Oryctolagus cuniculus: one gene and its partners. The protein of the gene in region 5 interacts with the protein of the main gene of each other region in a biochemical or structural test. Links are inferred from orthologs where the notes say so. Each region holds a gene or a part of one and is shown on either strand. Other genes may lie near its edges. The genes, in order: KIRREL1, CLDN8, CLDN7, CLDN4, TJP1, JAM3 and JAM2.

Region 1 (4,315 bases), on a different chromosome or scaffold from region 5:
CGGCGCATGATGGAAACGGGGGGAAGGATAATGGTTTTCATTTAGATAAGATACAGAAAATTATTTAGTGAAAAATGAAGATTGATGAAGCCCATTGAAATTCTTTAAAACGCGATTTTTATTTCTCCGCCTGAGCTGCAATCTCCCCTCTCCCCTCTGCTCTCTGCTCCCCTCCATTCTCTGGCCTTCCTTCACCTTCCCCCTTCTGCACCACCAGCCCTCAATCCCCTGGCAACACCTTCCCGCTCTGTTTCCTCTCTCCCTGCCCCAGTTCCTGGCCCTGAGGGGGGAAGGCTAAGGAGAAGGGGTCCCGCCAGGCACCCCTAGTGCATGCCCCAGGCTCCCCGACCCCCACGCCCTCCCTCCCTTCTCCTCCCCAGCCCCTGGCCAGCTTCCCCTGAATACCCAGTAGTAATTTCCTTTCCCTCCTGACTTCCCTCCCTTTCTGCCCTTTAGTATCCTCTCCCCCACCACAAACACTTTTGCATAGCGTCCTCAGGTCTTGCTCTCAGCCCACTGGGGAGGACAGGGAGGGGGAGGTTCAGGATTCCCTGTCCTCTTCCTCCTTCCCAAGGGGTGAGAGAGACACACACAATATACACATTTCTTTCTGACCATTCCTGTCTCCGATTCAATGCACATGTCTCTCCTGTTTGCTAACTGCAGCTTTTGTTCCTTAAAGCTCCTTCCTATCCATGTTGCTGACATGCCAGGGCTCCAGGAAAGGGGCAGACAGGAGCTGCCCCCCCTCCACATACCAATATTGACCCAGGGTCCCTCCCCCTCCCACCCGCCCCTTCCCCCACCACAGCAGCCTGACTGAACAGAGTCAAAACTTAAGTCATCTTCCCAACTTTCTGCCAAGTGCCCGGCCTGGCCTGCCAACCCCAGGGCCAGGCCTCCTTCCCCAGCACCCCCTCCCACTCTCAGCTCACACCAGACATGTGTGCCCTTCCCGTGTGTTCAGCGTGTGCAGGAGGGAAAGGCGGAAGAAGACAGGGCCCCAACAACTCAGCCCCGGGGAGGGTTCTGGCTGGGAAACGGGGTGTCCGGCACAGCAGCCCACACCACACACACACACACACACCCACAAACCTAAGAAGGAAAGTGAGCATTGAGCCATGCCTGAGGCTGCCCTCCCCAAGCCCACTGCCCTCTTCCCAGATCCACACCCCCACTCCCCAAAAAGAGACCACCTCCTCCATTTTGTAGTCTATACAGCTCCATAGGTGTCTGGCTGTACCAATGTCTGTTCAAGTTTCTTTGTTTGCTCCAGGGCTGGTATCTGTAGAAGGGCTCCTGCACGCCTCTGTGTGTGTGTGTGTGTGTGTGTGTGTGTGTGTGTGCCTGCGCGCGTGTCCTTGTAAAGGCTGCCTGCACACATGTTCCCTGTCTGAGTTTTGGCGCTCTGGGGCAGGATGTGTGTGCCAATCTGGGGAGGAATCCGTGACCCTCGGAGATGTCAGCGCCTTTGTGTCCATGTGTCTGTCTCAGTGTGGGGGATGTCTGCTGGTATGTCTGCGTCTCAGTAGGTGAGCAGTCTGTCTCCCTGTCTGTGACTGTTTTATGGTGTTTCTGTGTCAATTTCTCTGTGTCAGCTTCATGGAGGGAGGGGGTTGAAGGGGGGGGGAGTGAACCCGACAGGATTAAATCTTGCTTAGAGGCAGACCCCAGAGGTAAGAACACACTCCCACAGACCCCATTCCTGCCTGGAGTCTAGACCCTCGGTTTCCTCCCCCTCTTCCCTCCCCCAGCTCAGCCCTGCCCGGGATCCACCAATATCCTCACCTCTCTTAACCATAGCCGTGGCCTCCCAGCCTCTCCCCTGCCACTTCCAAATAAGCCCCCAGACTTCGGCACTTCCCCGACCCCAAGCGGGGTGTCCCCCCCAGTAAGTGCCCCTAACACATCCACTGGGCCTGCCGCTGTATTGGGAACTCCACTCCCCGCCCACAGCCGGCGCGGCCCACGGCTCCCACTCCCCCTCGCCCCAGGCTCGGAGGCCCCCTCCGCTCCCTGCCACCGTAGCTTTCTCTAGAGGGGGCGGCCCCGGCAGCTTGGAGCCGCGGTTCAAAAGCAGGCACCCCGACAGGCTGAACGGGAGGGAGCTAGGGAGACCGATCCTCTGAGCAGCATCTCGGGGGTAGCCCGGGGCCCCGGCTGCCCGCGCACCCCACCCCAAAATCTGAAATCCCACCCTGGCCGGGCGAAACCCTGGCGTCCGGACCCCGGCCACAGGGACTGGGGCTAAGTCGGGCTGCCGGGGGGCTCCGGGAAAGACTTTTCCGTTTTTCGCTCGGACCCCCAGCCCCGGCGGCCCCCAATTCTCCGTTCTCCCGCTCAACCAGAGCAAACAACTTGGATGAATCAACGGAAAACTCCTCCTCGCCGGCCCCGGCGACTCCGCGCCCGGACCCCGTTCCCCCCGCCTCGTGGCGTCTGGAGCCCGGCGGCTGCCCGCGGGCCGCTCCCCGGGCGGCGCCGGGGCGTCCGGGCGCCGGGGGTCGCGGAGAGAGGGGGGCGAGGTGGTGGCGTCTGGGGGCCCTTACCTTGGGAGAAAGTATCGGAGAGAGTGAGGATCCAGACGAGGAGGCTCAGCATGCTGCCCGCCCGCCGCGCGCCCGCCAGCGGCTGGGGCCCGGAGTTGGCGAGCGAGAGAGGAGCGGGCTGGGGAGGAGGGGAGCCCGCGAGCCCGCCCCCCGCCGCCGCGCCCGCCCCTGCACACGCGCCGCGCGCACACGCACACTCCCGCTCGCACAAACTCACTTCCCTTCCCGCGGTTTCCCCCTGGCAGCCTCCTCCCCCCAGCCCCTCGGACGAGTCCTCCTCTCGATCGCGCCCGCTCCCCCGAGCTCCGGCCGCCCGCGCCGCGCGCCCGCCCTCCTCCTGACGTCTGCTCTCTCCCCCCCGACGGCGCCTCCCTCCGCCGCCTCCCCTGCCCCCCAGCGCGCGCGCACACTCGCACCCCTCGCTGGCACCGAGACGCAAGGGCGGCCGAGAGAACGGAATTGAGGGCAAGGCGACGCGGATCAGGAGCGTGACATCGCGGGCTCCGGCGCAGGGGCGGCTGGACCCCTGCCCGCCCGCGCTGCCGCCCGTTTACAGACGCGGTCTCGGTCCCGGGCTGTGGGTTTGTAGCGGAGGGTCGGGGTTGGGGGGACAGGGTCTGAGGATAAGCCTCGTACGCAGAGGATGGCTGTGATGAGGAAGAGTGTGTGTGTGTGTGTGTGTGTGTGTGTGTGTCTGGTAGGCTGCCAGGGAGTTAAAGAGCATACAGATCTCAAAAAAAGAAAAAAAGAAAGAAAGACCAGAAGCTAATTCCTAGATCCCCTCAATGAAGAATTCTCCACTGGCTAGTGAATGTTGGAGGGGGGAGGGGCAGACATTCCTCTCCCGGCCTAAAAACCCCAGAACTAGAGAATCTACTTGGCCTGCCTTGAGCCCCTGCCAGAGACCAGGCTAAATGTTGGAGCCCTCAGCAGCCTGGAGAGGCACAGCTGCCTCCTTCCTTTGTTCCCCCTGGGCCTCTACCCACCCAGAAGGAGAAGCTAGCCAGCACCACGGCCCAGCTTGGAAGGCCAAGGACTGGCACGGCCTCCCTTCCAAGCCCGTGGGAAGAGCTGGCTGCCCAAAGAAGGTCTCCAAGCAGGAGTCTGAGATACCTTGGGGTGGAGACGGAGGAGCGGCTGAGGGAGGGACTTCCTGGTGGGAGTGATGAGGGGCTGCAGGAAGGGTCCGCTTTCTCTAGGGCCCAGTCTAGCAACCAGCTCCTCTCCCAAGCCCTAAGCAGAAGCCTCTGGTCCCAGCGTTGCTGGCAGTGCTTGGAGGTCTGGACCCTAGGGGATGAACTGAGGGGAAACAACACAAGAGTCACAGCAGTTGCACAACTTTACCGTAATGCCTGCTGGTCTAGAGAGGTCTCCACCTCTTTTCTCCCACATTCTGCATCTCCTGGGTCCCTAACTGCTGCCAGCGAGCATTTCTTCTTCCTTTCAGGCCCTGAGCTCAAAGCGCACGGCTCTCTGGTGCCCTCTGCTGACGTCAGGCGGCCAGGACTCGCCTTTCCTCCCCCGGATCCTGAAACATCCGCGCCAAGTAGAGGGCACAGAAACACAGGCAGGAAAACGCACAAGCTCTTACTCTGAAAGCTGATGCTCACAGTCCGGAGAAGACTTACATAGTTCAAAGCCGCATGTGCACAGGCAAGCACAGTGTAGAAACAAAGAACCGTACTTAGGCCAGAGACCCAGGAATGTAACCAGCACACGCACACACTAGCGCAGAGACATGCAAGGGCTCTTCATGTATTCCTTCA
Region 2 (4,156 bases), on a different chromosome or scaffold from region 5:
TATTGCAGTTTAGCCTTTTGAAGATCAACAAAGAAGAAATTACTGTAAATATAACTTTCGTTTTTTCTTACTTTCAAAATGTCGTGCGAATAAAATAATAACTTGGATGGTGGTACATTAATTATTTTTAGGCTATCATTTACTTTGGCACTTTCCTCTTCCCCACCCTTCTATGGAGAGTTTATGTTTCAATAATCTTTATTAACCACTCAGATTTTTTGAACCATTAAACTTTCACATTTAATAAGTGAGCCAAAGACATGCCCACATTTGAGTTTAAGTTACACAAGAAAGCATAGAGAAATTAAAGTTATCATTTCATGGGGTTAAGATGAAAAAAAAATTAAGCACAGACTGAAGATTTGGAAGATAGGACAGTGAGCTCACAGTGTTCTTCATAAGAACATTGCTAGGGGAGTATTCCTAAACCAGTTTCTGCTTATTTTAGAACCCATGTTACCACCATGGTTATTTTGAGAAGACATAGTTCAAATTGGCTCTTATGTAGGGGCTCCTATATCCTTTGAAGATGTGATATTAAAAAGTACAAAACACAAATTTGGTTAACACCTAATATTTTCAGTTCAATTAATGCAGCTGGTGTGTCCTGTAAACAGCTTATTTAAATCTATCAGACATTTGCCTAGACCCAAGACTTTTCTATCATCTGTAGAATTCTAGTTCCTTCAGCCGGGAAGATGGAGCAATAAAGATACAACCACAAAGTAAGCTAGCAAGCTGCATGTCACCCATAATTTAAATGTTATAATGTTTGCTACACTAAAAAAATCAACTAGCTTTTCTTTTATTACATTTTTTTTCTTTTAAATCAAGATTATCAGCAAAATACCAACAAGTAGTTTTTCTGGCTTTAATGAAAACAATGCATTTGGTGCCAAGGAGGAGGACTTTAGCTTTATTTTGTTTTTCAGCATGATATGTTCCCTGATTTTACCCTGCCAGGGCTTGCTTTGAAGTTGTAGGCAAATTAAAACTACTTGGATCACATGTATTCAAAGAATGTGGTTTTCCTAGGTATGAGCAGTCCATCAATGCCCTCCTCTCCTTTCACTTTGGCATTTTGACAGACCTTGAAGATTTCTTAGCAGGTATTTTATTTTATACCTTGCCCACAGCAGCTTTTACACAATTGCCTGTATAAAATGCACCTTTTACATTGCAAGAGATTGGCTCATTTCTTGATGATTGTGCAAACATTCATAATTATGCCTGCAGGTAAACATACTGCTGTCTTCTCGGAAAACAGAGAATTACAAAGAATGTTTATGTGCAGGTCCAGCCATTCCAAGTATCTCTGGTTGGTTTAGACACACCTGAGTTACCATCCCCCCGTCTTATTGGCTGAGAAAGTTGCCATACCTGATTTGTAAGTTTTCCTCTCTTAGTCAATAGAGGAGGCGGGGGACAACACAGCCAGCCAGCACTGGATTTAATCTACTAGAAATAGCAAAGCAGCTCTTATTTGAAAAGCTCCTGGGTTCTGAGTTAAGTATTATTGGAAACTCTTCTCTCCTGAGGCACAGAGAATCTTGCTTCGGAACAGCGTTACTAGTTCAGTTCAGGCAAATAAAATCTATTCCGGAGGATAATGGCGACCTATATTCTGCAAATTGCTGGACTGATGTTTGGCGGTGTTGGCATGGTGGGCACGTTGGCTGTCACCATCATGCCTCAGTGGAGAGTGTCTGCCTTCATCGAAAGCAACATCGTGATATTTGAAAACCTCTGGGAGGGCCTGTGGATGAATTGCATGAGGCACGCTAACATCAGGATGCAGTGCAAAGTCTATGATTCCCTGCTGGCTCTTTCTCCAGACCTGCAGGCATCCAGAGGACTCATGTGTGCTGCTTCTGTGCTGTCCTTCTTGGCTTTCATGACAGCCATCGTCGGCATGAAGTGCACTAGGTGCACTGGGGACGATGAAAAGGTGAAAGGTCACATCCTACTCACAGCTGGAATCATCTTCATCGTCACAGGCATCTTGGTGCTCATCCCTGTGAGCTGGGTTGCTAATTCCATCATTAGGGATTTCTACAACCCAATAGTGAATGTTGCCCAGAAACGCGAGCTTGGAGAAGCCCTCTACATAGGCTGGACCACCTCGCTGCTGTTGATTGCTGCAGGGACCCTGTTCTGCTGTGGTTTCTGCTGTACTGAGAAGAGCAGTAGCTACAGATACTCAATACCTTCCCATCGCACAACCCAAAAGAGTTATCACATGGAAAAGAAGTCACCGAGTGTGTACTCCAAAAGTCAGTATGTGTAGTTGCGTATGTTTTTTATCTTTACCTATAAAGCCATGCAAATGACTACAATACCCACTATTTTCTAATTATGGAGCCCAAAGGAACATTGATTTACTGTTGTTGACTGCTGAACATTAATTACAGGAACTACACATCAGCTGTTTATGATTCTATAAGCTATTTCAGCAGAATGAGATATTATACATTCTGCTTTGATTGTTTTAGGAAGTCTAGTAATTTGCCAAAATTGTTCATGCATCTATTCCTTTTATCAGTTACTTCAAAATGACATTGTTAAAGACTGTATTATTTTACAACTATAATTTCTGTGTGTCATAGAATTATGTACATGATTGAGCATGACATTTGTATCTCACATAAATAGAGACCAGCTTATATGGGTTTATTTAAAATGAAATACTGATCCATTGTACTGAATAAATAGGACTCAACTATTGCTTTTCAGGGTAATCAGAGATTTGAAGAAGTTAATATTAATTGTTTAACAATAACTTAGAGATTAAGTCTATAATGAAAACTAAAAATGAAGATTGTAATCAACAGTTTGAAGGAAATTAAATGGTTCTTCTGATATTCTGTTTTTCAGCCTAGAAGTTTAGAAATCCTCACTCCCTTATCTTTTCCCTAGAGGCCTTCATTTTCTTGTGTGTTAAATTAACATCGTTAAAACACAGATGGTCTGCAAGGAACTTTGTATTCAGCCTACTTTTTCAGGACTTACTAAGAAGAATGATTAAAATGTGATGAAAAAATATTAACAATCCTAAGGAAGCAAATTATTTTCTTCTTAAGTCCTTGTAGTTGGATAAGGATGCTGGTTGACAAAAAAAATCATGTATGCATGAGAATATTTTAACAATCATTGAGTACAGACTTAAAGCTTTTAGCAATATAAATAACAGCATAGAAAAATAACATATTTTGGTTTTCATTTAATTCCACCCCAAAAATCCAAAAAAAAAATATACTTTGAGCATTCCATTGCTCCTAAGTGGACTTATCTCAAAATTGTCACCTCAGTTCTGCTGAAGATAAATTTCCTATTTGTTTCATTTTTGTTCAGGTTTACTAAACTGTGAAATACTATAGCTTTGTGTTTCCTCCAAATTTGATGAAACAGAAAATCCAATTTGAAAGTTTATATCTATTTTTGTCCAGCTTACATAATTATGCATATTATGTACTTTGTCTTTTGTGTTTATAAATTGTGCCTTTTTATAATCATTTGAAACCTTCTCATTTATTGTTTCTGTTATCAATTTATAAGAGTAAAATAATGTACATATATTATTGAATATACATGCGCATATGACTAGAATCGAAGATGCTACATAGAATTCAGTATACAACATATTAGTGTATGTGTACATGTATTATATTACCTCATAAAAAGCAATTGCCTTGCATTTAGAGAGGTGATAATTCCAGAGCTGTGCTATCCCTTCTACAATATTCTCCAAAGACATCGCTTCCACAGCTGACTCTGAACACCTTACACCTGGTTTACACTCTATCATCATTACAAACGGCCCCTGAGGGCTGTGCAACTACAGTCTTTTCTCCTGGGCTTTTCTGTGACTCTGTTCACAGCCATCTTTCTTCTAAAACCTAGGTGACCTCATGATTGGTCTTTCCTACGCTTTAACTCCCTTCTCCATTCTGTCCCACCTTCTTGATAATTAACTGCTTTATGTGCCAAATGACTATTAATTTTTTGCTTAGAATAATATATTTTTAAAATTTAATTTATTCATCTGAAAATCAGACCACAGAGAGGGAGAGGCAGAGGCAGAGAGAGAGAAAAGCCAGAGAGAGAGAGAGAAAAAGAGAGAGAGAGGCTGAGCTTCCATCAGCTCCCCAAATGGCCA
Region 3 (4,500 bases), on a different chromosome or scaffold from region 5:
AAGCTCCTGGCTCCTGGCTTCAGCTCATCTCTGGCCATTGTGATCATCTGGGGAGTGAGCCAGCGGACAGAAGAGTCTCTCTTTCTCTGGTGCTACCTCTCTGTTTAACTCAAATAAATAATAATAATAATAAACTAGTAGCTATTTAAACAAAGAGTGGGGACAGGAATGAATGAGAGAAGCAGAACACCTGACTGTTACAGGGGCCTGAGTAACAATGAAAATGAAACAGGGTAGACCAGCCTTGGGCACCGCTGGGGTTCTGTGAGTGTTTTAAAGAAGTAGGCGCACTTTAGCTTCCAAGCTCCCTGTAAGGAAAGGGTGGAAGAAAGCAGAGGCCCTCGAAGGAAAAAAAGCCGCCTTTCCAAAACCTATTTTTTATTACTGTACAAAAAGCACACCCTCCCCTCTGTTTGGCCCCCCCTTCCCCGCCCCGTAGAGAACTGTACATGGTGTGCAGGGATAGATTGAACAGGAGGCCTTGTCCTGTGCCTGCTCACAGGTTGAGCTCTGCCCATGGGCCTTGCAGGTATCTGGGCACACCCACAGCCAGTCAGGCTGGGGCATGGGGTCCCGGCTCACACGTACTCCTTGGCAGAGTTGGACTTGGGGTAGGAGCGAGGTGCACGGTACGCAGATTTGTTCTCACTGCCAGGGCAGGAGCAGGAGAGCAGAGCGCCTCCCAGGAGGACCAGAGCAGACCCTGCCCAGCCAATAAAAATGGCAGAACCAAACTCGTACCTGTGGAAGAGAAGGGACTGGGTCAGAACCCTGGCCTGCCTCTGCTCTCCCCCTACCCCAGGCCCCCAGGCCTGTCCCGATAGGCAGGGTTCCCAGACTTACTTAACATTCATGGGGGTCAGGGGGTTATAAAAGTCTGTGACAATCTGATGACCATACCAGGAACAAGCTATCAAGGCAGCAAGACCTGGAGAGAGAATGAGAGTTCAGACAGGGTGTGCTCTGCCCACGCCCACGACTTCGTGGTGGGAGAGGAGAGCCTGGGGCCCACCTGCCACGATGAAGACGATGCCTCCAGACATGGCAATGCGGGCCTTCTTCACTTTGTCATCTCCCCCGCAGCGCGTGCACTTCATGCCCATCGTGGCCACAAACATGGCCAGGAAGCCCAGCACCAGAGATACCACCATGAGGGCTCGAGTGGCCTGCAAGGCCCCTGCGAGGAAGGAGAAAGGTCGCTGTCATTGCTGCAAAGGCAGGCGGCCCTCCGTCGGCTCCAGCCTCGGCGGCCGGGCCGCGCCCAGTGACCCCTGGACCCTTGTCCTCCCGGCGCTGGGCGCCGCCGCCGGCCCGGGGCCGCCGCCGCATCTAACGGCCGGCTGGGAGCCCGCAGGTTCCCGCCCCCTCCCGGCACCGCGGCCTTCCTGCTCCGCCCTCTGCTCGGAACCCGCCCGGGGCGCCAGGGTTTCGATGAAACCGCCACGGAGAGGGGGAAGGGCGCAGAGGGGCAGCCGACGGGGCAGCCGGGGCTCCCGCGCTGGTCGCACGTCCCGGCCGGCGTCCCAGCTCCGGCCCTGCTATCGAGGCCGCGGGCGCGTGGCCTTGGCTAATCGGGCGATAAGATTAGAGGCCGCAAACCGCGGCCCACATCTGACAGAGCGCGCTCGCTCCGCGGCCCTCGCCCAGTGCCCCCTTTTGTCCGAGAGAAAGAGGCGGGAGATGGCGGAAGCCATTGTCTGCCGGTGGAGGGTACAGAAGGGGACGACCCCAGCCTCGGGCTCCGCTTCCCCCGGCGAGGTAGAAGGCCAAGCTCGGGATGGAAGAGGCGCGCAGGTGGCCGAGGCGCGAGCCCACGTGCAGCGGACGGAACCCTGGCCCGCGCCCGCCCAGCCCCACCGCCCCGGCCTGTACTCTTCCGCTTCCTCCTGCAACCCGAGGCGCCCGGCCGCGGGGCCTCGGCCCTGCCCGGGACACCACCCCGCCACCTCGGCCCGGGGCAAGTGCGCCCCGTCGGGCCCGCGCGCGGCCTTACCGGACAGGGCGAGCACAGAGTCGTACATTTTGCAGCTCATCATGCCGGTGCTCTGCGTGACGCACTCCATCCACAGCCCCTTGTACATGGCCTGGGCCGTGATAATGTTGTCGCCCGCGTACGAGCTCATCTGCCACTGCGGGATGGCGGTGCTCGCCACCAGGGCCACCCATCCCAGAAGAGCCATAGAAAAGCCGAGCAACTGCAGGCCCGAATTGGCCATTTCCGCCTTCGGAAAGAGACTGGGAGCCCCGGGCGGGGGACCCTACAGTGAAGCAAATAAAACTTGAGGGTGGGGGCAGCCCCACAAGAAACAAGCCAGGTGGAGTTTTCAGCCGCCCAAAGAGACAAAAGAGGCGTTTATCTTCTTGTCCTCGGAGTAAAGGCAAATCGACGCCTCCGGTAGAGCGCTGGTCTCTCCCGGAGCAGCGGCTCCGCACACGGCGATCCCCGAGGCCGGGCGGTCCCCCTCGGCGCTCCGGGCGACCCTGCGCAAACAAAAGGTGTAGGGGCCGTATGGGCGCGGCCCTGAGTGCGGGCAAGCCCAGGATAAGATCCCGGGCTATCGGCCTGAAGCTGCGGTGCACGGAAGAGGAGGCGAGCCGGCAGGTGCGGGCGGACAGGTGCGGCGCACCTGAGTATAAGTAGGGCGTCGGGGGCGCGCCCCCGCGGGCAACGGGAGCGCGGGAGGGGGGGCGGGACCGGAGGGGCGGCCGAGGGTGACCTGACGTCACCGAAGGGACACTCACCTGAACCGGAAGTCCTGGCCCCCACCCCTTCTTGCCCAGGTGAAAAGGAAGAAACCTGAGCACTAGGGTCACGCCCATTCACTTGCCGGGTTTTGGCCGCAGGTGAGGAGGAGGCGGAGGCTTCTCAGGAGTTTCCAGCTTCGAGTCAGCCCCCAGGACTGGATTTCCCCCGGACTCGGAGATGCCCCTTTCTCTCTCCCCAGCAGGTGCACCTGGGACACTGCAGAGGCAGGCGGCCAGGCTCGGCGCCGCCCTTTCGCCGCCGGTTTCTGCCTCCAATGCTCTTTGTCCGCTCGACTTTCGCCTCCACCCTCTGCTCTTCTTTTCCTTCTTTCTCCTGCTCTGACGGGTGGTCTTAGCCGGGTCCTTGAGGATCGCGCCTTGTTGGAATTGCCACTCCTGGAGGCCCCTGGACGAGCGCTCCACCTCCCCGGCCTTGGCCCTCCCACCTGGGCTGACCCTGCAACAGCCCGCAGGCCTCTGAGCCCCTGCTCCTCAAGAAGCCCCCCTTCCCGGCCCCCAGTGCATCCCTGGGCCCTTCTCACTCCTCCCCCAGGCTGCTACCCGCTCCAGCATCTAGGCTCCTAGCAGAGCACAGAAACCACCAGGGCCAGGAGCTGGCGGAGGGTGGGAAGCCGGGGTAGGCCTGGGTCAGAGCCTTGGCCGCGCCCATCACTCCCTTCCCTTGGCGTCTTTTCAGACCCGTTCTCCACCTTCCCCGCCCCGCCACTCACACTGAGCACTGCCTCTCTCCCAGCCAAGCCGCCTTGTGCGCACTCTCCCATCCCCTCGGTGTTCTGTGCACCCAAACATCTGGCTTTACAACGGGATCTTTGAGTCCACCCTCAGACTCGCAGCTCACACTCACCAGCCCCCCCCCCCCCCCCCCCGGTCTCTCAGTTCACCTTCGGGCGTAGCCCACCTCCAGCCCCGCCCCTGCATCCATCCTGCGGTCCGTCTCCAGGCAGGTGGCTGCCTCGCCCAGCTCTTCGTGCGGGTTGCCAGTCTGCCTCTCCTCCAGCCCAGACCCTCCACACCTCCCCTGCCCCATCTCTCCCTCACTCCATTGCCCTCTTTCTGCTTTTCACCCCGGTTCTCTGGTGTTTCCTCCCATGGTTCTTCTTCCTCAAACATCTCTCTGTAAATCTTCATTTATTCTGTACATTTATTAATGGGCTCTTTGTGCTCATCTAATTAACCTACTCTTGTATGAAAATGCGGACTCTTCAGAACTCTTTGTGATTCATTTTTATTGTACTTTTTGAAGCACAGTGAGGTGGTTTTTTTTTTTTTTTTTTTTTTTAAGGTGACTTCCAGCTCTTCCCTTGACTTATGTGTACCCAACTTTTCTCCAAGCTCTCTGCTACCTCCCCGGGCCACAGCACGGTCACCTCTTGCCAGGACATCCTGACTGCTCTAATCTCCCTGCCCCCACTCCTGTCTTGCTAAAATCTGTAGCCTAGCCGGCGCCGTGGCTCACTAGGCTAATCCTCTACCTTGCAGCGCCGGCACACTGGGTTCTAGTCCCGGTCAGGGTGCCGGATTCTGTCCTGGTTGCCCCTCTTCCAGGCCAGCTTTCTGCTGTGGCCAGGGAGTGCAGTGGAGGATGGCCCAAGTGCTTGGGCCCTGCACCCCATGGGAGACCAGGAGAAGCACCTGGCTCCTGCCTTCGGATCAGCGCGGTGCGCCGGCTGCAGCGCGCTAGCCGCGGTGGCCATTGGAGGGTGAACCAATGGCAAAGGAAGACCTTTCTCTCTG
Region 4 (3,634 bases), on a different chromosome or scaffold from region 5:
GGGCCCGACTCAGTGCTAACAGCACCCAGCAGAGCAGAGCGGGTTGGGTCAGAGCCGGGGTTCCGCGCCGCGGGTCCAGGGCCGGGCCACATGCTCCCACAAGCCCAGGGCTGCACTTCCTCACCCGTGAAGGGGCCCCAGAGCCCCAGGCGTGGCCAGGAGGGTGCCCTGGCTGGAGCAGGTGGAAAGACCCTGGTGACCTGTGTGAGCTGGCCTGTGATGATGCTCTTTCTGAGGGAGGAGGCTCAGAGCTGGCCCTGCAGGACAAGCAGGATCCGGCAAGGTGGGGAGGGCAGAGACCAAGCCCCGGGGTTCGCCCTCCCTCCCGGGGTCCCCGCTGGGTCCCTGGCATGCGCTATTTCCTGCCTCCAGGGTGACTCCCAAGATTACGGCCAGGTCTGCTTGTCGCGATTCCCCGAAGCCGTTTTCCTAAGCGCTGGGGTCCTGGCCCCGGCTGACCCCCTGCACAGGCCTCCAGCCCCGCCCCTCCCGCTCCCACCCCTGCAAGCCCCAATCAGAGACAAATACAGATCTTCCTGTACACAGGTCCCGTTTATTGTAGAAAATAATAATAATTACAGTGATGAATAGCACTTCTTAAATTACAAAACAGAGACATCGAGGGAGAGCCCCTGCCCCCAACATACACCCGCCGGGCTGGCCAGTGTCCTTGACTGGGGAGGGTGGAGGGGTTCTCCAGCCTTCCTGCCCAAACCAGTTTGTCCCACCTCCACTCCTCCCCTCCAAACCAGTCTGTCCACTCTGTGCTCCTCGGCGCCATTCTCGGGCAGGGCAGGTATGGCTCAAGCGTGGATCCCCCAAGTTCATGCAGCTGGCGGGGCCAGGAGCCAGGGAGACGGTGGCAAGACAGGCGCTGGAGTCATGGAACGTGCAGGCAGAGGGTGTGGGCAGACGGAGCTGGGCAAAGGCTAGAGCGGCTACACTGGCATGAGTGGGCACCCACTCTGAAACACAGTTCAAGGTCAGGGCTGGGCTGGCCTGGCCAGCAGGACCAGCTCCCTGCTCTGTCGCCTGCCTCCGGGAGCCATTCAGAGGAGCGGGGCACGGTGTCTCTCTGCCATCCGTCCTTGGGAAGCTGTCCAAGTGGGGCGAGGCGGGGTTGAGGGCTGCTGGCCACGGGCCTCCTCCTGGGTCCCAGACCATGCCGAGCTCCGATGGACAATCCCAGCCAGGAGGGACACAGTCGAGCGCCGGCGCCTCACACGTAGTTGCTGGCCGGGGCGGAGCGGGCAGCCGAGTACTTGGCCGAGTAGGGTTTGTCGTTGCGCGGCGGGCAGTTACAGCACAGCAGAGCCCCGCCGAGCAGCAGCAGGCCGGAGGCCGCCCAGCCGATGTAGAGGGAGGCGCCCATCTCGCGCTTCTGCCCGTTCGCCACGAGCGGATTGTAGAAGTCCCGGATGACGTTGTGGGCCGTCCACGACACGGGCACCATCACCAGCAGGCCGGCCAGCAGGAACACCACGCCTGCCACGATCATGGTCTTGGCCTTGGCCGTCTCATCCTCCACGCAGTTGGTGCACTTGCCCCCGACCACGGACAGCAGCACGCCCAGGGCGGCCACGATAATGCAGATGATGGTGAGCGCGCGGGCCGCCTGCAGGTCCTGCGGCAGCGCCAGCAGCGAGTCGTACACCTTGCACTGCATCTGCCCCGTGCTCTGCACCACACAGTTCATCCACAGCCCTTCCCAGATGACCTGCGAGGTGACGATGTTGCTGCCGATGAAGGCCGTCACCCGCCACATGGGCATGGCGCAGCACAGCATGGAGCCCAGCCAGCCCAGCACGGCCAGGGCGATCCCCATCACCTGCAGTCCCATAGAAGCCATGGCTCCGCGTGCGTCTCCGCTGGGCTCTGGCGATCGATCGGGGCGGCTTGAGAGGGATCTCAAGGCCTGAGGTCACACCGGCCCTGGGCAGGGAAGAGACAAAGCCAGCGCCAGCAAGGAGGGTGAGCAGACCAGTTCTTTCAGCCAACAGCCGCCCCGCCGGCTACAGGTGGAGCAGTTATATGGCTCTGGCGGAGAGAGGCGGGGGCAGAGGGAGGGGCTTCGGGCCCTGACCAGTTTCTCTGGATTCCTGAACCCTGGCCAACCAAGACACTGAAAGGCCCCTGAGTCACCCCTGAGTCTCAGAGGAAACTGCCCTCTCTCCCCCAGCCCCTCCCCCCACACTCCCTCCACCCCACCCCGGCCCATGCTGAAGTCAGGCCAGAGACAGACACTGAGTCACAGCCCAGGGCCATCTGGTGTCCACGGGGTGGGGCGAGCAAGGTGGTGGACCTGGAGCCTGGGGTCCCAGCATCCCCCAGGCTCCTCATCCGGGCACTGTCGCCACTGTCAATCAGCCCCGCACTGCCAGGCAGGTCAGGTATGGGAGACGGAGGACACGGGAGGCCCTACCCCTACCCCCATGCACCTTTGGCCAAAGAGAGACCCAAGCTGGTCCCCCTGCCACCACCATGGCCCCCGTGGGCCAGGGCTGAGCCTACGTGGGCAGCGCAGGCTGGGGGCAGCAACCTGGGAGGCATCAGCCCCACGGTGGCTGTTTACTCTGTGTGGACACAGAGAGAGGTTCAAAGTCCCAGGAGGCTTCAAAGGCAAGGGAGAGCCAAGCCAGGCGTGGGGGGTGGGGGTGGGGGCTGCAGATAACACAGCAGCTGCCAGGGTTGTGCGGGGGCGGGGGGAGGTTGAGGGGGTGGGCAAGGCAGCAAGACTTGGTGGCGGGAACGGGCACTGGGGTGGGGAGACGTAGCTCTTTCTTTCTTTTTTTAAGATTTATTTATCTGCTTGAAAGACAGAGTTACAGAGAGGCAGAGGCAGAGAGAGAGAGGTCTTCCATCCGCTGGTTCACTCTCCAATTGGCCACAACGGCCAGAGCTGTGCTGATCTGAAACCAGCAGCCAGGAGCTTCTTCCAAGTCTCCCACGTGGGTGCAGGGGCCCAAGCACTTGACCATCTTCTACTGCTTTCCTAGGCCACAGCAGAGAGCTGGACAGGAAGTGGAGCAGCCGGAACTCGAACTGGCACCCATATGGGAGGCCGGCACTGCAGGCAGCGGCGTTTCCCTCTATGCCACAGCGCCGGCCTCGAGACACAGCTCTTTCTGGGAGCGGGGTCCTTGTGAGGGTTGTGCAAGGCAGTGGGACTAGGTGAAGGGGGCATTGGGGTGGAGGGAACAGCAAGGAATGCAGTTTGACTGGACACTGGGCTGCCTGGCCGCAGGGAGGGGCCGGAGCCAAGAGCCAGCCCCAGGCGGTACTCAGGGGCAGGTGGGCAGGGGCACCGGTGGTGAGCAGCTGTCCCCGTAGCTTCCGGAGGCACTGCTGGAAACAGGAAGGGATGGGGGGTCCGGACTCAGGGAGGGCCTGAGTCAGGGTAGGGGCTGGGGGGACCTAGAGGAGAGGGCCATGCTGGGGGGAGCAGGCCCAAGTCCCCGCCACTACCCAGCCACACATCTGGGGCCTGGATACAGCGGCCTGTCCACATCTGACCCAGAGAAGCCAATACCTTCCATTTCCGGAACACATCCCCCACTGGCCCAAAGCTGTCTGGGAGCGGCCCTTACAATGCAATCGCCCCATGTTGCTGAGGGAAAAGTCGAGGCCTCCCTTG
Region 5 (4,313 bases):
AAAAAAAGAAATGAGAATAACACTGAGTGAAAATTCTGAAAAGCTCTGCTAACACTAAGGAAAAGGTCAACAAAATCTTGCCTGCCTTTTCCTGGTCATTGATTCGTAAGAGTTTTTCTCCCTGGCCCTAAAGCACTGAGTACACATTTTGCCTGGCTTTTATTTCCCTGTGTCCTCTCTTCACAAACCGTGTGTTTGGGAGATGTGCTTCAAGAAGTAGCACTCCAGGCCAGCGCTGTGGCATAGTGGGTAAAGCCACAGCCTTCACTGCTGGCATCCCATATGGGCGCCAGTTTGAGTCCCAGGTGTTCCACTTCCAATTCAGCTCTCTGCTACGGCCTGGGAAAGCAGTAGAAGATGGCCCAAGTTCTTGGGCCCCTGTACCCGCATGGGAAACCTGGAAGAAGCTCATGGTTCCTGGCTTCGGATCAGCACAGCTCTGGCTGTTGTGGTCAAATGGGGAGTGAACCAGTGGATGGAAAACCTCTCCCTCCTGGTCTCTCTCTCTCTGCCTCTCCTTCTCTCACTGTGTAACTCAGACTTTCAAATAAATAAATAAATCTTAAAAAAAAAAAAGGGGAAGTAGCACTCCAGTGTTGGAAGAGAACCAAGCTAACTCCTGAACTTTGTGATGCCTAGTAGCATTCAAATGTCACTCTAACATCTTAATTTTTAAAACCAAGCATCAAGAAAACAGATTACCTTAACATTTTCCCAGCTGGGCATTATGAGTAATTCATTTATCTAAAAACTGTTTATTGAGAAACTATTTTGTGCCAGAAACCAGTTGCAAGGGACCTAGTAATGAAATAAAGAGCCCCTCCCCCATTCTAGTGGGGACAGGGACAACGTGTAGGAACAGTAAGTAGAACATTTAAGTGCTGGTTATTTTATTTTATTTTATTTATTTGACAGGTAGAGTTATAGACAGTGAAAGGGAGAGACAAAGAGAAAGGTCTTCCTTCCGTCGATTCACCCCTCAAATGGCTGCTACGGCCGGCACGCTGCGCTGATCTGAAGCCAGGAGCCAGGTGCTTCTGGTCTCCCATGCAGGTGCAGGGCCCAGGGACTTGGGCCATCCTCCACTGCCTTCCCGGGCCACAGCAGAGAGCTGGACTGGAAGAGGAGCAGCCGGGACTAGAACCTGGTGCCCATATGGGATGCCAGCGCCGCAGTCGGAGGATTAACCAAGTGAGCCATGGCGCCAGCCCTAAGTGCTGGTTATTGACAGACACTCAGAGGGAAGCAGGGTGGGGCATCAGGCTGCAGACACCTGATCCGATCTGCCAATGCCCCTTCCCCCATCAAAGTCACCTTCCGCAGTCACATCCTCACGACTTACTCGCTGGTCTTCTTCCCAAGGCATTTAGTTCAGCTGCTACCTGCTCCCACCAGTCTTGTCTTGGGGGTGTCACCATTTGCTGCTCACCAAATTAAAAAACAAACAGGGTGCAGCAGGGAGAAAGGCAATAGCGCAGCTAAGCACCTGCTGTCCAGGCAGGCGCCTGCCTTCCCGGCACAGCCGACCTGCAAGAGAACCCCCGGGTGCGGACGGCTACCGGGAGAAACGGGCGCTCCAGGAAGCTGCCTGGGTCACAGCTCAAGTCTGAGCACTGCCACCCATATTTATTGCTTTGCCTCCAAAACTCTTCCATTTTTTGACCCTCCATTTTTTGGGGCAGGTCAATTTATACACCTTGGGCAATTCTTTCACAGCAGGACTCACTTTCCTCGAATACCTAAGCCCGCCTGCCTGTCTGCATCCACAGCCCTATTATTAAATCAGACGACCAAGGAATGCCTTAAGGACCTACAACTGGCCACTCACGGTAACATTAACACGACCTGCGCCCACCACGATCCCTGGCACCTGCGCCCCACACTCGCCTTCCCTTTTTTGCCCTACAACGGCTTTTGCGGTAGAACCTCCCAGCCTGAACCCCAGATCCAAAGGACGCCTCGGCTGGGTGCAGGTACCCGAGAACGCCCCGCACGGTCGGGCGCCCGGCCGCGAACGACGGGACCCCGGGCGCGCAGAACTCCCAGCCCGGCTTCTTCCAGGAACGGGACCGCGTGCAAGCGACACATAGCACCGAACAAGGTGCCCACGGTCCCGCAAGCCAGAGCCCGCGCGGCGGCGGCGCGCCCTCCGCTGCGGACCCCGCACCGATGCGCTCGGAGCAGTCACGGGGACCGCGCACCGCGGCGAGCGATCGCGCGCTCGCGACCCGCAGGAAGCCTGCCCTGAAATCCCGAGCCTGCATTGGCTGGCTGGATGGATGCGGGTTCACAGAACGGAGGAGCCGGGTGCGGGAGCCGCTGCGGTGAGCCCGGCCGCCCCGCGCCGCCCTACGTGTGGCCCGGCACAGCCAGGGCCGCGCGGCAGCAGCCCGCAGGGCGCCGACATGGCTGCTGCGCCCCGCGCTCCGGCGGGCCGGGCCCCGCGGCCTGGCTGCCCGCCTGCCCGCCCGCCCCGGCCCCCGCCCGGGCGGCCCCGGCCGGCGCCCGGTGCGGGCTGGGGCTCGGCGCTCGCGCGCACCGCACCGCACCGCACCGCACCGCGCCGCGCCGCGCCGCGCTCACCACAGCTTCCTCTTGAGCGGCAGCAGGCTGCCGCGGTTGGAGGGGGTGACGCCGATGGCCATCTGCAGCACCGTCAGGTATTTCTGGTACTTCATCTTGTCCCCGCTCCGCTCGCGGGCAGGGCCCCGCCGCCGCCGCCGCCGCCGCCGCCGCAGGCACAGCCCCTCCAGGCGCCGCATAGATCAGCTCTGGGCCATCCGCCGCCGCCACAGCTCCCGCCGCTCCCGCCGCCGCCGCCGCGCGCGCCCCGCCGCCCCCGCCGCCCGCGCGAGCCGCGGTCCCCGCCGTGCGCACCGGGCGGGCGGGCGGGCGGGTGCGGGCCTGGCGCGCGGCGGGGCTGGCGTGGCCGCCGCGCCCGCAGCACCGCCCGCCGGCGCCACCGGGCCCTGCACCCCGCATGCCTCAGTTTCTTCATTGGTTGCCAGGAGCTCATTTTCAATCATTTATGCCCCGATGGACAAGCTCCCAGAGCGGAAAAAATACACTCTTTTGTCTGCGTTTGCCACTGGGTGGTTTATCAACATCATCTGTGTGCCGAAGATAACCTTTATCTAGCTGTTTCCCTAAAGTCTTTGACGATTTCAATTTTATATATATGCTGCACACACATATAGAATATATCACATACATGTTGTATACACACATATATCGCATACAAATTGTATGCACATGCAATATATATGTATATATTGCATACATGCATATTTAATATATATTGCAAAATATTGTATACACAAATAATATATTGCATACATATTGTGTACACACATATATAGTATATACACACATAGTATATATACACATGTAATATATTGCATACATGTGGCTATAAAATATATCACATATATGTTACACGCACATATATATAGCATACACAGTATGTATGTACATGTAATATATTGCGCACATATGGCACATATATTGCATGTATGTTGTACACATAATATATAGCATGCATAGTGTGTATACATATGTAATATATAGCATACACATCGCACACACATATATAGCGTCCATATTGCATACACATATGTAATATATATTGCATACATGTTGTACACACATGGGCAAACACATATAGAATATATGTATATTATATATAATACACTCAGACACAAACACATGCAGTCCTCGTTTGCCCTGGAGCTCTAGACAATGGAAGTGACCATGAACCAAGCAAAATTCTCTTAAGAATCAATGGGAAATGATTGTTCCATAGTCTTTAAAAACGTTGTCAAAACATTCAAAACTTGTTTAACTGATGGTTACAAATGTGTAGGTTAGGAGTCCTCGCTGTGGTGCAGTGGGATAAAGCCCCAACCTGCAGTGTCAGCATCCCATATGGGTGCTGGTTCAAGTCCTGGCTGCTCCTCTTCCAATCCAGCTCTTTGCTATGGCCTGGGAAAGCAGTAGAAGATGGCCCAAGTGCTTGGGCCCCTGGACCCAAAGAAGTAGGAGAACCGGAAGAAGCTCCTGGCTCCTGGCTTCAGATCAGCTCAGCTCTGGCCTTTGCAGCCTCCTGGGGAGTGAACCAGTGGATGGAAGACCTTTCTCTCTCTCTGACTCTACCTCTCTCTGTACTTCTGTCTTTCAAATAAATAAAATAAATCTTAAAAACAACAAATGTATGGGTTAGTAAAAATAATAGAAAACCTAGTAATTCAATACACTGTAATGTCAAACATTGCAGATGCGGAAAATTAGAGTGCTTTATTTCTTGTATGTAAAGC
Region 6 (3,704 bases), on a different chromosome or scaffold from region 5:
AACTCTGTATTTCAAATAAATAAATAAATCTTAAAAAAAAAAAAAAAACTAGGAGAGACCTTGCCCTTCTACTGCACTGGCCCCCTAGCCTCCCACCTGCAGGCCTCTTAGAGGAAAGTCCCTGGGAGTCCTTTATCATTTCTACATGCTGGGCGATGCACTTCCCTGTGAGAGCACTGGTGGCTGTTTCCTTTATGCACATAAGAATGCAGGGAATTTATCAACAAAAGTCAGTTAATTTGAAAACTCAAAATTCTCCATTACTCTAGTATGCTGGTTCTCAAATGTGAGTGAGTCCTTGAAAATCAACTTGGAATTTGTATTTAAAATGTCAGTTCCAGTTCCATCTCTAAAGATACAATAGGTCTGGAGAAAACTCAGGAATTTTCCTTCAGGAGAAAATGACTCTAGTGTAGGGTTTCCCTACCAGGAATGCTTATTTTACAGAGACATTTCCAGGAGACATCTGGGATGGGCCCAGACTTTATCATCAGGTAACTCTAGGAAACACTGCTGTGGGTGGTTACAAATAGGAAGGAAAAAGAGAACGGAAAGCACCAGGAGTGAGGAGGTGCGCCTATACGTTCTCTCCCCTCAGCATCCACTCTGGAGCCAGGTTTCTGGAGGCCTTGCACAACCACGTGTTTGATAATTCCATCGATTACCAAGGAACCGGAATTTATTAACTCACTGAATGCTACGTGACTGGCCATGTCTCCAACACCAGAAGACCTGGGAAGTCTTTCTTGGGAACCTGCTTGTCTAGACTCATCCTGTCTTCCCCAGTGCGTTCCAGCCAGCTCCAGGAGAAAGCTGACCCAAGGGAGACAGCTGTCCAACCTGATGGTCTAATACTCAATATTGAATGTCTTATCCACTCTCTAGTCTTTGATGAAATCTTTTCAAAAAGTGACTCACAGACTTCCATCTCCTGCTCCTCACACCTGGCTGAGCCGGCATCATTGGAGGCAATACAGAAATACTGCCCGGAGTCCTCCTTGTGAACAGCGCTGAACACCTGTTCCAGGAAATAAGGAAATAAACAGACCAATCAACAAGGTAGACCTAAGGGGACAACAGAGTCCCCACTGCGCCCGAGTCCAGAAAGCAGCCAGTCTGCTCGTTTGGTTCTGGTCTGCCTGTGGCTCCCCAGGCACTGTCGCAGTTCTTCCCTGACACCCTAAGAGCTTCCAACCATAACCTCCCCTGTGTATCTGAAGAGACAAAGCTGGCAACATCCAGAACAACAGGCCAGAGAGTGGTCTGATCATGACTGCTCATCAGGCAATATTTTGACAAAACAAGTATCAAGGATCCTATTACAATCTGCCTGATGTTTGACTCCATGCAGACCACAGACCAAAGGCACTTGCCAAGGAGAACGAGACTGCTGGAGCTGTCTGGTGGTGAGCCTGTCTCTGCTAGCACAGGACCATCCTGTCCCATCACCCAAACCCTCACCACCTCAGGGTTCTGACAGAAATGTCAGGTTTCATCCATAAATACTTCAATATACGTCTCTAAAAGTTAAGAACTTTTAAAAACCATAACCACAATTCCATGATGCTGCTGCAAGCAATTAATTGCTTAATATGATCAAAGAAACAGCCAACAAAATTTCCCTAGTTGTCCCGTACTGCTTTTACAGCTGATTATCCAAATCACAACGCTGGCAACGTCTGTTGGTAACATTTAATGTCCCTCCGCAGTCTCTTCTCACCTCCAGGTTCCCTTGCTTTATTGCACCCCCTTTAGAACCTACTTGCCTATAAGGGCAAAAAGGGGCTTTTTTTTCTGTAGAATCTCCAACATTTTCAGTTCCTGTCTTACAAAGTAGTTCCATTGTCTCTCCTAATTGCTCTTTCAGCAGTAACCATCCCTGGCCCCAAGACACATCTCCATCATCACCTCTTAGAAGATATCTTACCAGGGTGCCGGTTTCAGAGTTTAAGAGAAAAGAGGAATTTCGAAATCTGGGATTGACCCTGGAGTCCGTCGGCAGTGGCATATCATTACGGTACCAGCTGTAGTAGGGCCGGGGAAAGCCCTCACTCTCCTGGCAGTGCAGTGTCGCAGTCTTGCCAACGGGGACCGCCTTGGGTACTCTGCAGACAGGGGTTACTGGCTTCACTGTAGGAAATACATGGATTGGTGTTTAAAATTGAAGCAACATGGCTCTACCCCTGTCAAAACCCACAGTGAGCTGGGTCCAAAGACAAGAAAGCCAGCTGAGCTGCCCTTGCACCACGGTTATGTGGCAGGTGCCTCCTGGAGATGGTGAGGAAGTGGCAGGAGCACCACTTCCCACCCCAAATTAGGCAAAGCCTCAAAACTTCCCCCCTCCCAGTCATGCTTCCCTCAGAGATACAGCTCTGGAAGGAAAGAAATCAAAATCCTTCTCTTTGATTCCACAGATGGAGACTCGTGAAGCCTGAAAGAGGTGGAAATGTTTACCTTCACGTGCTCCTACCTTGCACAATTAACTCAATGGTAATCTCATCAATTTCTTTGCGGTCATTTCGAGCAACAACTTCACAGCGGTAAAGGGCTGAGTCTTTCCGAGTCACATTCCAGATCTTCAGGGAAGTCTGCCCCAGGACTTCCGCACGACCTGCCAAGTCTCCTACAGAGAAGATGATACAGGGCACCAAAAACTCTAAGGCTCTCTTTGCCACTTGAGGGTGGTTTCTGGGGCCAGAATTTGATACAGAGTAAGGAGGCTGCAGACTGGTTTGTTTCTTTATACCATGTAACAGAAATGAGTGCCCTGAGGACTGCAATCATGACTCTCCTATTTGTAACCCAGGCACCAAAAATAGTACCAGGTGTTTGAGGAGCTCTCAATGAGTGTGTCTTGCTAAAGCTAGGATCCTCATCTCTTTTCTATCACTCTCAAGAGAGATTCCCCATTCCAATAAAATAAACAAGATAAAAAAAGAAAAAGGAATAAAACCCTTGGCTTTCCATAAATGATGCTTTTCCACATGCAAAACAAGGTAGTTGAATCTCTACTTCATTTTCTGTATAATTAAGAGTTATGAACTGTTAGTAAAAAGCAGGCATAAATCTTCATGACCTTAGATTAAGCAATGGTTTCTTAGATATGACATCAACAGCACAAGCACCCAAAAAAAGTAGTTAAAATAGACTTCATCAAAACTAAAAGGTTGTGTTTCAAAGGACGCCAGCAGGAGAAAAGGCAATGTACAGGACCGCAGAAGTGTTTCCAAGTCTATTTGACAAAGGACTAGTATCTACAATGTAGCAGTATTAAGAATTTACAATTCAACAATGGACAAGTGAGTTTAAAACTGGGCAGAAGATCCAAAAAGGCATTTCTCCATAGAAACACACAAATGGCCAATCTATACATGAGAAGATGCTCAACAGGTCAGTCAACAGGAAATGCACATCAAACCACGGGGAGCACCTCTTCATATCAACTAGGACTGCCAGAAAAAGTCAGACAATAGCAAGTATTGCTAAGGATGTCAGGAAGTACACTGCTGGTAGGGACATGAAATGGTAAAGCTGCCTTTGGAAAAGTTTGTCAGCTTCTTAAAAAAAAATGAAACATACAACTATCACATGACCTAGAAACTTCTGGTCACTTCTCCCAGAGAACTGAGAACTTACATTCACACAAAAACTTGTACATGAATGTGCACAGCAGCATTACTGGTAATAGCCAAAAAATGGAAACA
Region 7 (4,397 bases), on a different chromosome or scaffold from region 5:
CCTGCACCCACATGGAAAACCTGGATGAAACTCCTGGCTACGGCCTGGCCCAGCCCGGGTCGCTGTGGCCATCTGGGGAGTGAATCAGCAGATGGAAGACCTCTCTTTCTTTCTCTCTCTTGTCTCTCTCTCCTCGGTAACTCTGCTTTTCAAATAGAATAAATAAATCTTAAAAAAATAAATAAAATGCAATGTCCTGTCCTGGATAGAATCGTGCAACACTGAAGGACAAACGGTAAGAATGAATAAAGGGGCCAGCACTGTAGCGTAGTGGGTAACATCGTCACTTGCAGTGCCAGCATCACATATGGGCACCTATTTGAGGCCCGGATGCTCCACTTCCGATCCAGCTCTCTGCTATGGCCTGGGAAAGCAGTAGAAAATGGCCAAAGTCCTTGGTACCCTACACCCTCGTGGGAGACCCGGAAGAAACTCCTGGCTTCTGGCTTTGGATCGGCACAGCTCCAGCCATTACAGCCATTTGGGCAGTGAACCAGAGCATGGAAGACCTCTCTCTGCCTCTGCCTCTGCCTGTCTGTAACTCTGCCTTTCAAATAAATAAATAAATCTTTCAAAAAAAAAAAAAAAAAAAGAATGAAGAGAATATGAACACAGTGCACTCTGCTCACCTAAGTCAGCAACAGGGAAAACTGACGGTGGGTTACACAGCAACTCTCTATCCTAACTTGGAAAATTCTCTTCAAATCTATCTGTTCTAAAATTTCATTAAAAAACTTTCATAAAAAAAAAAAAAAAAAAAAAAAAGACTTTAGCAATGCCAGACCTTGGCCATCCCAGCAACAAGACAGAAAAGATCTCGGCAACATTTCCCAAGTTAATCCCCGGCACCATGGTTAGCAGGGTTATTCTACCCATTCATCCAAGCCTTTGTTTGCCTCTTAGTTGATTGTCAGCTACAATTTCAAACTTAGTGTACTGCTTCTATCTTAATGATGGGGCAGGGATCACAGGAAAATGCTTTGCTCCTTCCACAACTAAAGTCACAGGCTTTTCAGATCTGAAACGGAAGATTTTAGTGGCCACCGTAACTTCCCCAGCTTTGTTTCTATCCCTGCAGCCTGCCTCTTTGTTGCCTTTCTGCTGAGCACATCTCCCTGCGCGTTCAGCAGGACACCAATGGATGGTCAGAAACTGTTAAGGGTCTTACTGTGAAACTTGGCCTTCCCGGCCTGATTTTCTATAATATAGGTCAGCACATGGCCCTTCCCTTGGAGAACCGCGAGTCCACCCCCGCCGCAAGGGACACAGCTCACACACACGAGGACCTTGGGCTGAGCGAGATTCACTTGGGCAACCAGAGACTGAGGGGAAAAACTCAGTGTATCGTGGTATTACACACTCACCAGGAGGTCTATTTTAAGTACTGTAAGCATTACATTACCAGAATGAGCCAGGATAACTCATTTTACCAGGAAAGGCGAAAAACAAACAAACAAACAAACAGGTAAGGCAAGAAGAATGTAGGAAAAAACGAAAAAAGGAAGGGGTAGGGAGGGGACGAAAGAAAAAGGAAAATACTTCATGGCGCAAAATCTAGTAATTTCCTGCATTTTCCTAACAAGTCCACGCGAAGAAAACAAAAGGAAACGTTCCCAGGGTTTTCAATCTCGTGCGCCCAGAATCCGTGAAAATCCGGCTTATACGCGTCCCGCGGAGCGTCTGCATCTTCCTCCCAGTCGTCCCGTGGGACGTCCCTGAGGACCCCCGCCGCTGTCCGGGGTCGTGGGCCGGGACGGCGCCCCGCAGCAGCACAGGTGCAGGCGATCTAGGGAATTCCAGCTCCGCAGCCGCGCACGCCCCCGCCCCGCAGCACGAGCGCTCCGCCGACCCCGGGCACTGATGGGACCCTCACGGAGAAGCCAGGAGCACGGGGACTGCGGGAGTGGCCGGCGCCCGCCTCCCAGTGATGATGCCATGTTTCAGGGGGTTCTTAGCATCTCAGGAGTCGTTAGTGAGTTTTGCATTCGGATCACGTCCCTGTGCCTTTGAAAACTTAACCCAACTTTGCACCTGGTAGTGGGGGCCCTTAATTTTCTCAAACTAGCACTGACACAATCACACGCACTTACGAGAAGCCCAAGACCCGCCCCTCGCTTCCCACCGCCGCCGCCGCCACTACACTGCCCGCAGCCCCGGATCCCAGCCCGCGGGGTGCAAAGTCCGAGCCCCGCGTGGACCCGCAGCCCAGGGCCGCCCCGCTCCGTCCGCGCGCTCAGAGTCTGGGGTCCGGGGGGGTGGGTCAAAGCAGGACCGGGTGGGAGGATGGAGGCTCCCGAGCGACTTACAGCCCAGGACGACCACCAGGTACCGCAGCAGCAGTAGGAGAAGGCGGTGGCGGCTCCGCCTCGCCATCTTCGCGGGGCCGGAGTGGGCAGCTAGGGTCCGGCGTCTGGAGAGTGCGCGGCCAGGCGGGGGCGGGCGAGAGGGGCGGGTCTGGAGGAGACGTCAGTTTCCCCCTCCAGGGTGCCTTCTCGGCTGGCTGCCCAGAAGCTGGTCTTCCAGCCTTGGAATGGGGGGTCTGGGCCGTTCTTTTTTTGGGGGGGCGGGTGGGGTGCCAGGGGAGGGCGTGGACGCGGGACGAGGTGTCCGCGGGGTCCTAGTGAGGGGGCAGCAGGAGGCGAGCAGCGCAGGGAATGCCCTGGCCGGTCGCCCCCGCCCCGCGCCGCGCCGCCGGCATTGATCGGCTTTGTGTTGGGTCCGGCGCGGGCAGCCAGCTGTCCCCAGGGCCGGGAGCCCGGGGCGCTCGGGGAGGGGGCGGAGTGGGGAGGGGTTCCCGCCTGCCTCGCTCCAACTCCTGTCTTCCCCGCCTCTCCAGGAAACTTCTTTTGAGGTTTTTCAGCCCGGGGGTGGAGTCTTTGGAGAATTTCTGCCCAGAGCAGGAGGCGCGCGGAGGAGATGGGGTTCGTGGGCTCCGCCTTGGACTCAAGACTTAAAAAAAAAAAAAAGCTGCCTAGACTCGTGCGGGAAGTCAAGTCTCAGACTTTAGCAACAGCCTCAGCCCCTTCTCAGTGTGCGCTTTTCGGTCCTTGGAGAGCTTAGGGGTGTTTTGTGTTGCTTGCTTCTTCCTGTGCCGGAGTTGGAAGTTCCTCTATCGGTGTGAAATATTTATCATGTTGCTTTCCAGTTACATAACTGCCGCCTGTGGAGTTTTCCACATGTTAAAACTCTACAGCTGCCCTTTGTCAGGTTTATTTTTGGCCTACTGTGCTTTTAAAAGGGAAACCCATTATGAATGCGCTGTTGCGTGCTTTAAAATTGACCCACACTTAAGCTGCACTCACTGACGAAGGCTGAACTGGCAATGTGTGTGTTTGTTCCTAGGGACCGAAGCTGTCTGATGTGTTCAAAAGGATGGATAGGTCTGGGAAGAGCCATTCCCGGGAGAAGAAATTGTTGCACATCAGAGTTTTGTCTAAGGTAGAATAATGCATAAAGTTCTGTGTAGAGAGTTGATTTAGTGGCCTACACACAAAGAATTCAGCCAGCTCAGTGGACAAAGGCGAGCAGAGTTTAGATATGCAGAGCTGTGAGGAATGAGGCATCCCTGCCGTTGCCTTGGTGACAGGGACGAAAGCTTAGTACCCATGGGGAGGGCGGGGCGCGGAGGACCCAGGGGGCCCAGAAGGGAAAGTGGCAAATGGCTGAATGTTCCAGCTCCTGCCCCAGTCCAGCGGGAAGGGGTGCCGAGGTAAGGACAGCCGTCTGCCAGCTTTTCCAGGCAGTAACAAGATTCAATACTTGGAAAGAAAAGCTGTCCGTGACCTCTTTTTTTTTTTCTCATTCTTGCTCCAACTGTGCGTCTTTTACTCCTCTGTAAACAAAACACACACAAAGGCAGATTTTTTAAGGAGCAGGGATTCGACCTCATGTTAAAACTCACCCACCGGCCTTCATCAGGCTGTCTGGCTCCTGACTCCGGCTTCCTGGTAATTCAGACCCTGGGAGGCAGCCGTGGTGGCTCAAGTAGCTGGGTTCTTGCCATCCATGCCTGAGACTTGGTCTGAGCTCTTGGCTTCCGCCAAGCTTTTTCAGCCTACTCCCACCCATTGTGGGCATTTGGGGAGTGAACCAATGGATAGGAGCTCTCCCTAACTCCAAATGCCTCTCTGCCCTTGCAAATGCGTAATTTGTTTAAAGGATTATACCTTTTTTATAAAAATTGTATTTATTATTTATTTTAATGCAGAATTACAGAGCTAGAGAGGGAGAGACAGAGATCTTCCATCTGCTAATTCACTTTCCAAATGGCCGCAAAGACCAGGGCTGGACCAGGCTGAAGCCAAGAGGCTGGAGCTTCCTCCAGGTTTCCCACATGAGTGGCAGGGGCCCAAGCACTTGGGCCATCTTCTACTGCTTTCCCAGGCACATTAGCAGAG

The links.
Region 1: the proteins of TJP1 (region 5) and KIRREL1 form a complex in vitro, tested with the Homo sapiens proteins (3 studies listed by BioGRID and IntAct, with this or other methods). The link is inferred for Oryctolagus cuniculus from reciprocal best matches to the Homo sapiens genes TJP1 and KIRREL1.
Region 2: the proteins of TJP1 (region 5) and CLDN8 form a complex in vitro, tested with the Homo sapiens proteins (2 studies listed by BioGRID and IntAct, with this or other methods). The link is inferred for Oryctolagus cuniculus from reciprocal best matches to the Homo sapiens genes TJP1 and CLDN8.
Region 3: the proteins of TJP1 (region 5) and CLDN7 form a complex in vitro, tested with the Homo sapiens proteins (2 studies listed by BioGRID and IntAct, with this or other methods). The link is inferred for Oryctolagus cuniculus from reciprocal best matches to the Homo sapiens genes TJP1 and CLDN7.
Region 4: the proteins of TJP1 (region 5) and CLDN4 form a complex in vitro, tested with the Homo sapiens proteins (2 studies listed by BioGRID and IntAct, with this or other methods). The link is inferred for Oryctolagus cuniculus from reciprocal best matches to the Homo sapiens genes TJP1 and CLDN4.
Region 6: the proteins of TJP1 (region 5) and JAM3 form a complex in vitro, tested with the Homo sapiens proteins (2 studies listed by BioGRID and IntAct, with this or other methods). The link is inferred for Oryctolagus cuniculus from reciprocal best matches to the Homo sapiens genes TJP1 and JAM3.
Region 7: the proteins of TJP1 (region 5) and JAM2 form a complex in vitro, tested with the Homo sapiens proteins (2 studies listed by BioGRID and IntAct, with this or other methods). The link is inferred for Oryctolagus cuniculus from reciprocal best matches to the Homo sapiens genes TJP1 and JAM2.

Annotation. Positions count from the first base shown.
Region 1 is NC_091438.1:41,056,768-41,061,082, forward strand, and holds the start of KIRREL1 (kin of IRRE-like protein 1), read right to left. Parts: upstream 2,843-4,315; 5' UTR 2,602-2,842; coding exon 2,550-2,601; intron 1-2,549. UniProt on the Homo sapiens protein: Required for proper function of the glomerular filtration barrier. It is involved in the maintenance of a stable podocyte architecture with interdigitating foot processes connected by specialized cell-cell junctions, known as the slit diaphragm.
Region 2 is NC_091435.1:15,228,494-15,232,649, forward strand, and holds CLDN8 (claudin-8), read left to right. Parts: upstream 1-1,368; 5' UTR 1,369-1,609; coding exon 1,610-2,287; 3' UTR 2,288-3,512; downstream 3,513-4,156.
Region 3 is NC_091448.1:51,865,480-51,869,979, forward strand, and holds CLDN7 (claudin-7), read right to left. Parts: upstream 2,958-4,500; 5' UTR 2,217-2,957; coding exon 1,994-2,216; intron 1,178-1,993; coding exon 1,013-1,177; intron 929-1,012; coding exon 844-928; intron 742-843; coding exon 579-741; 3' UTR 362-578; downstream 1-361. UniProt on the Homo sapiens protein: Plays a major role in tight junction-specific obliteration of the intercellular space.
Region 4 is NC_091450.1:50,315,564-50,319,197, forward strand, and holds CLDN4 (claudin-4), read right to left. Parts: upstream 2,021-3,634; 5' UTR 1,850-2,020; coding exon 1,220-1,849; 3' UTR 534-1,219; downstream 1-533. UniProt on the Homo sapiens protein: Can associate with other claudins to regulate tight junction structural and functional strand dynamics.
Region 5 is NC_091443.1:10,918,037-10,922,349, reverse strand, and holds the start of TJP1 (tight junction protein ZO-1), read right to left. Parts: upstream 2,814-4,313; 5' UTR 2,763-2,813; coding exon 2,584-2,762; intron 1-2,583. UniProt on the Homo sapiens protein: TJP1, TJP2, and TJP3 are closely related scaffolding proteins that link tight junction (TJ) transmembrane proteins such as claudins, junctional adhesion molecules, and occludin to the actin cytoskeleton.
Region 6 is NC_091432.1:128,325,504-128,329,207, reverse strand, and holds part of JAM3 (junctional adhesion molecule C), read right to left. Parts: intron 2,624-3,704; coding exon 2,471-2,623; intron 2,131-2,470; coding exon 1,928-2,130; intron 1,019-1,927; coding exon 919-1,018; intron 1-918. UniProt on the Homo sapiens protein: Junctional adhesion protein that mediates heterotypic cell-cell interactions with its cognate receptor JAM2 to regulate different cellular processes. Plays a role in homing and mobilization of hematopoietic stem and progenitor cells within the bone marrow.
Region 7 is NC_091435.1:20,255,774-20,260,170, forward strand, and holds the start of JAM2 (junctional adhesion molecule B), read right to left. Parts: upstream 2,875-4,397; 5' UTR 2,374-2,874; coding exon 2,307-2,373; intron 1-2,306. UniProt on the Homo sapiens protein: Junctional adhesion protein that mediates heterotypic cell-cell interactions with its cognate receptor JAM3 to regulate different cellular processes. Plays a role in homing and mobilization of hematopoietic stem and progenitor cells within the bone marrow.